Kluyveromyces lactis: one gene and its partner. The protein of the gene in region 1 interacts with the protein of each later gene in a biochemical or structural test. Links are inferred from orthologs where the notes say so. Each region holds a gene or a part of one and is shown in the gene's direction. Other genes may lie near its edges. The genes, in order: SEC4 and MDR1.

Region 1 (2,846 bases):
AAGATGGGTTCTGTTGAAAATTTACTCGATCAATTAGTCTTTGACCATCCTTCCGACGTGGTTCGTCGTGAAGTTGGTAAACTTTTCTCAGTTATCTTCTACATAAAGGCAAATGCTCATCGTCCAAACGTGAAGTCTCTTCTCGAAACGGGGGCATCTGGTCCAATTGAGATCAGAGAAATCCCAAGCTGGTTGAGAGAGAGGGCTATTAAAATCTTCAACGAAATTGAAAAAGAAAGATTGTTGATCAAGGACCTACCCGCTCAGGACATCTTGAAGACTAGGTATTTCTACTTGGCATCAACTATGTTCTATTGGGCTGCTCATTTAATCAATACTGGTGCTAGAGTGTGTCTGGGTCCATTTGCTAAATGTTATTTGGCACCCTTCTTGATGAAGTTAGACAGAATGAGAGATGTTTGTAAAATGGTCAACATTAAGGTTTACAGTATTTACGTGGAACTTGCATACATTCCAATAAGCCGCACGTTGTTACCTGACATAATTTCGATCTTGGATGACACAGATTTGACTAGCTCTCATGAATTACGTGTGAATTTGACTTTAGCAGAGAAACTTTTCTCCACACAATCGTTGGTTATGGACCATGCTGGTAAAGTGAAGATCTTAGAGTTCGTTTTGGACAAATTGTTCTGTAAGAGTTTTGTAGAGGTTCGTCTCAAGGCTTCCTATGTCCTTGCCGGTATCGTGCATAACATATCTTATGATACCGATACTTTGCACACTCTCTTGGAAAACTTCAAGCGTCAACTTGGTTCATATACTTTCGAGGAGAAAGCTGCACTCTCCAAATCCAACACAGATATTCACGGTGCGATCTTGGGTCTCGGTGCCATCATCGAAGCATTCCCGTACGTTTCACCGTTACCAAATTGGATTCCAGAGAATATGGCACTACTAGCGTCCTGGGCAAGAACAAGCGGTATGTGCGGTGCTGATGCAAAGAACATCATCTCTAGATACAAGAAAGTTAGAGCAGATACCTGGCATTTGGACAGATACCAGTTCACCTCGGAGCAATTAGAAGATATGGAAGGTGTTCTTTGGAGGAGTTACTACGCCTGAGAAGTTGCACAATCGACACAGATGACCCACAAGCTGCGTATGCACATGAATATATATGTACATCTACAAGTATAAATCGTATAATTTAACTTGACATTGGGTATGCCTATCACCATATACGAATTCGATCAGTATCTAGATTTTGGACAAATATTGTTTGAAAGGGTGAAAGCAGGATAGCCATCACGAAAGGCACTAACCCAAACACTTTACGGCCGAGCTATTAAAACCCAGATTCTGTTGACCAGATATAACCAGCTCGCCACTCCTCCAATATATCGAGATAAAATAACAGTGTTGAACTGTGATATCAATTTTTTTCACTTAATTGAAGCGTGAAGGAAACAAGGGAGATTGAAACTATAATGTCTGGATTAAGAACGGTTTCTGCTAACGGCAGCACGAATAAAAACTATGATTCTGTCATGAAGATTTTACTTCTAGGTGATTCCGGTGTAGGTAAATCATGTCTTTTGGTTCGTTTTGTTGAAGATAAGTTCACACCAACTTTCATCACCACAATCGGTATCGATTTCAAGATTAAAACCGTAGACATCAATGGGAAACGTGTGAAGTTACAACTTTGGGATACTGCTGGCCAGGAACGGTTCAGAACCATCACAACCGCATACTACAGAGGTGCCATGGGTATTGTATTGATTTACGATGTTACTGACGAAAGAACTTTTGAAAACATCAGACAATGGTTCTCCACTGTTAACCAACATGCTAGCGAGGATGTAGTAATGCTGCTAGTCGGAAATAAAAAGGACATGGATACAAGAACCGTGTCTTACGAACAAGGTGAAGCTCTTGCTAAGGAGCTAGGGATCCCATTCATTGAAGCCAGTGCCAAAGACGACACCAACGTCAGCGAAATCTTCTTCACATTGGCCAAGTTGATCCAAGAAAAGATCGATGATGGTAAGATGGAAGGAAAGGCTGAAAAGGAGGGAAATGTAAGCATTCGTGGCTCAGGCTCTTCAGGCTCCAAGTCCAATTGCTGCTAAACCACAGATCAGAGCGTACAATAAGAAATAACAACCTATGCATTGGCTTTGTGTGTGTACATATATATATATATTCAAATGGTATGTATTAGAAAGTTCAAAGGTAACTTTACACGACCATTCCAAATCAGGTGATTTACACGTGACGTAAATAATCACATGACCATCTCCACGTGCCACTCAAGATCAATATAAAATTGCCCAACTTTCCCAATATAAGGGCATCGATGATTATATAAAGAGTGCATTAGAAGGAAATGCAAATAAAGAAACAGATATAAGGATGGACTTAAAGATTTTATTTAGCCAATAAACAGTTGGGTAGATTTCTATTTTCTTGTTCAGCTTCCTTGTATCTTGAATTGAGAAGTGTAATCCTGATCACCATCTTCAGCTTTATAACCAGGAAGGGTTGCTGTTTATTATAACCCTTATAATATTGTCAAAAGAGGGATTTGGTCTTTTTAAATTCAAGGCACAATGCTATTTGGTGTGAAGCTAGCTAATGATACTTATCCCCCATGGAGGGATTCTTATATCGATTATGAGAAATTGAAAAAGTTGTTAAAAGAGTCCGTTATCAGAGACTCTGAAATGTTCAATGGTTCTTCTTCTGGCCGTGGGAAGAAGGGGAAGAAGGGGAAGAGTAATGTAGATGAATATTGGAGTGAGAAGGATGAATCCAAATTTGTTTCCGCGTTGGATGAGGAGTTGGAGAAAGTTTATGGATTTCAAACTTCTGCTTACAAT
Region 2 (4,488 bases), on another chromosome or scaffold:
AAAGCTTTGTAGTTTTTGGTCTAGGAGCCTCTCATTTCTTAAGATCAGAGACGTACTATGGCTCTACAAGCAATAAGATCAGTATTTCTACCCTTCAATGCTATAACTTGCAACAAAAACCTATATATAAAGAGTTGTTAGGTCCGTTTGAGAGTCATCCAAAGTTCGATCATACTAAGCCTTTCATCGAGATCAAGTGGAATATGGGTGTTCCAATCGGTGGTATTTCAAACTTACTTGAGCTGAATCTTCTTTCACAACCCATCATTTTCAAAATGGATTTTAGAACGTCTGAAAAATTGATGTCTTACTTATTCCCTAAGTATAAATCCACACCGAGCGACAACAGTTCTATAATTCGCCAATCAATCGATATCTCGGATAGCGAATCTCAAGTGTTGTCTCGGAAACCATCTATTCTCAGTAACTCGACAGGCAACTCGGTTAGATCTCCAATGACAAGAAGAATGATATTGACCGACTGGGATATGCAATCTTTTACAAAAGTCTTAGATAAAAGTAATTTGAAGGGTGAAGCAAAACATTTATATGACCCTGAATATGAAATGGATGAAATGGTGAAGAGATCTAGTAAGTATTTCAATGTTGCTAAAATCTCAGTTAATGGTTTGATAATGTCCGTCAGCTATAAAGGCTCCAGGAGTGTAATAACAAATGTTGATAATTTAATCGTGAAAGTGCCTACTATTCAATACACCAACAAATTATGGTCATCTGAGGAACTTATAGCCTCATTCAAGAAGGATATCGTGAAAGTTGTGTTACAACACACTGGTAATATTATAGGTAACAAGTTTGTGCCACACAAAAATGAAAACAAATATGAGCCATTGAAACAAATTTCTAACTTGATAAGACCAGAATTACAAAAGATTCAAAAGAAAAGTTCAGCATCGTTGCCAACACTATCCAGAAGAACTTCTAAAGTACCTTCAAAAACACAAGAATCAGATAAGATCCCTGACCAAGAAACAACGACATCCGCTCGTGCCGCAATAGATACAGTTCCAGAAACGTACGATGTCGAAGAATTCTTTCCCGCAGAGACAAACACATAAGATGGACATATGACATAAACGATTTAATCCCATCCTTTTTAATGACCAGATATGTACACGAATATGTAATTTCTTACTTATGATAGATGATTTACTCATGCATTTCAATTCTAATTCTAGCTCCAATTCCTGATATATATAGCACGATTATTACCATTTATACATAATACGAAACTGATGGTAATGATAGATGCTGTGTGTAATCGTTATAGATTACGGATCTTAGTGCGTAATGGGGTCACTCAGTGTCGTTAGTACCTTCTGAATGCTCTTTGTAGATCATTTTGACGTTACCCGGTTTTCATATTGTTGTGTTATAATCAAGCCAACTCTGTTAAACATTGTAACATGCGCATTATATGAAGAATGTGGTATCATTAAGAGAGTAATAAAGCATAACAGCCAGGTGCAATTGCTTCAGCTATTAAATCTAGGGTGTCAATTGGGCAGTATTAAATCATGTCCTTTTTTGATACGCTTCGAAATACAGCGAACTCGGTAAAGGAGAAGTTTGCAGATAACTCTTCGCCGAAATTAACAAGAGATGAGAGGTTTAGACTAGACTATAAGTTGCCCAGTACTGAATATATATTAGATGATACCAGTGCAGAGATCTCTATGTTGAGTCCGTATAAAAATGTGAATCGTAAATCAGCAACGTCAAGGGAAAAGCCAGTTGAAAATACATATGTTTATTCGGGGAGACTATTTTTAACTCCGCATTTCCTAGTCTTTAGGGATTCATTTGACCACATGAGCTGCGTTATGGTCTTGAATATATCTACCATTAAAAGGGTTGAGCGTGCTAATATAGCTTCTTACGCTTTTTCTTTGCAAGTGACGTTGCTTTCTGGAGCTCGATTGATAATTCAATTTATCGGATTAAGGTACAGGTCGGAAGAGTTCTCACATAAGCTCAAAATGCAATTGAGAGATAATATACCACAGACGAAGAACATGCCAGCATTCTTAGGCACGCTATATTCAGAATATATCATTGAAAAAAACATAGATAAGAACCGTGAGTTGCAACCACCGTCACTAGGATTGGGACAAATATATAAATACCCTGGTGATCCAGCACTTCAAAAGGAAAAGGCTAAATTAAGGCTATGGTTTGAGTATTTCAAATCCAACGGTATGAATCTCTCGCTCTTGAGGCATCCAGCTTTTTATAAATTGATAAGAGTTGGAATACCTAATAGATTAAGGGGAGAGATATGGGAACTATGTTCTGGTTCAATGTACGAAAGGTTCATGAATAAGGATTTGTACCAAAAACTTCTGGAAGACCATAAGGGAGAAAACTCACAGGCCATTGAAGAAATCGAAAAGGACTTGAACAGGTCTTTGCCTGATTATGCAGCATATCAAGATCCAGAAGGTATAGACAAATTGAGAAATGTTCTTGTAGCATATTCTTGGAAAAATCCGGACGTCGGATACTGCCAAGCAATGAATATTGTTGTCGCTGTCTTGTTGATATTTATGAGTGAAGAGCAAGCATTTTGGTCACTATGTAATCTTTGTGACCTTTACGTTCCAGGGTACTATTCAAAGACAATGTATGGAACTCTATTAGATCAACGAGTATTTGAATCATTTGTCGAATCTAAGATGCCAGTAATGTGGAATCATATTGCCAAGTATGATATCCAACTATCTGTGGTATCCTTACCTTGGTTCTTATCTTTATTCTTCATTGCAATGCCTCTTCAATTTGCCTTCAGAATAATGGATATTTTCTTCGTGAACGGCCCGAAGACTTTGTTCCAAGTAGCGTTGGCTATTTTGAAAGTCAATGCAGATGATTTACTTGAAGTTGATGATGACGGTATGTTTATTGCCATCTTGAAGAGTTACTTCCAAAGACTAGACGACAGCGCACACCCAGAATCTAGCGATGTTAAATATAGGCAAATCACAAAGTTCCAGGAACTTCTTGTCGTTGCGTTCAAGGAGTTTGATATTATTACAGAGGAACTTGTGGAAACAGAAAGAAACAAGTATAAGAAGGGTATATTGCACGATATTGAATCCTTTGCAAAGAGAACGCAACTAAGAAACGTGTCAAAGGCCGTTCATCTCAGCCAGAATGAAGTCTCTAACATATATGACATTTATTACCAGAGTATAGACTCTTACAGAATTAGTATGGGAACAGGTTCCTCAAAAATGGACTTTACATCATTTGTTCAATTCCTTGCAAAGATATGCGATTGGTGTAAATCAAGTTCAAGTGACCTTGACCATAGGTTCAGGAAACAACGTAATGATTTTTTGAAGAGGTTGTTCAAAAGTTGGGATAAAGGAAACTTTGGTGAGCTAACGTTGAATGATGTTGTCTCTGGCCTAGACAAAATGAAGACAGAAGATATAATGGAATCCATGAACAACTTCTTCCAGCTTTACGACGATCAGCAGACGGGCAAAATTCAAAGAGAACAAATCTTGAAAATGTCAGAAGACTTACTATTCCTAACTGAACCATGGAAATCTGGTCGTTGTATTGATCTTCTGACCCAAACATCGATAGAAAACGATATCGCGGAAAGCATCGTGAAGAAAAACGGCGGAAGAGTTGTTACTTTAGAGGAGATTGAGTTACCGAAGGGCGTCGTTATCGATGACGAGAAATATAAAGCTGAACAATCTGAAAGGTATTTGCATGCCGCCAGTAATTTCTTACAAAGATGCTTCGAATATGCCCAGCCATTGGAACAAGAGGTACCCATCGATCTGTTAGACCTATCTGACGATACAGACAACGAAGAAAAGAAAAAGAACAACGAGAAGAGATGGAATAGTCTAAAGGCTAATGTCGCATTAAACCCAAATACCCCATGTACTCTTGATCTGGCAACGTTCCGAATGCTTGTCTTAGCCGATGAAACATATGAGCAATTTTTTGCTAACACCCTAAGGAACTCTATTCACGTAGATGAGCAGGTGAACGCGCTGGAAAGTCGCTCGAAGGCATTGAGGAACGTATTTGACGGATTAATCGCTGATGGTAGAAGAGTTGCCAATCAAGTACGGCGTAGAGTGGACTCTGTTGCCACTCAGCAGTCGGAATCGCCAAGTCAAGATAAACAAATTGACCTAGACGACTTTAGCACTGACCATGGCGATGAGAGCATGGAATTATTACACTCCGATTATAGAGATTTAATGGATATGGATGACGACGAAATGCACTCGGATCATAAAAAACTAAATTCATTTGATCTAGACCAATCTACTCACCCAGACAACCATCAGGGGAAAAAAGATCTGATCGAATTTGAGACATAAGCGCTGTTAATCCGGCTCTTCGTATATAGTTCTATATATTATGTCTATAATGTATTTTGGCAATCGGAGCTCATTACATATTGCCATAACTCAAGAAAAATTCAATATTTGAACT

What was found.
Region 2: of the proteins of SEC4 (region 1) and MDR1, one has a biochemical effect on the other in vitro, tested with the Saccharomyces cerevisiae proteins (2 studies listed by BioGRID). The link is inferred for Kluyveromyces lactis from reciprocal best matches to the Saccharomyces cerevisiae genes SEC4 and MDR1.

Annotation. Positions count from the first base shown.
Region 1 is NC_006041.1:1,073,848-1,076,693, forward strand, and holds SEC4 (Rab family GTPase SEC4), read left to right. Parts: upstream 1-1,451; coding exon 1,452-2,096; downstream 2,097-2,846. Other genes in the region: proteasome activator BLM10, read left to right, coding at 1-1,086; VTC2 (vacuolar transporter chaperone), read left to right, coding at 2,577-2,846. UniProt on the Saccharomyces cerevisiae protein: Involved in exocytosis. Maybe by regulating the binding and fusion of secretory vesicles with the cell surface. The GTP-bound form of SEC4 may interact with an effector, thereby stimulating its activity and leading to exocytotic fusion.
Region 2 is NC_006040.1:1,290,334-1,294,821, forward strand, and holds MDR1 (GTPase-activating protein MDR1), read left to right. Parts: upstream 1-1,538; coding exon 1,539-4,373; downstream 4,374-4,488. Other genes in the region: HOB2 (Hob2p), read left to right, coding at 1-1,079.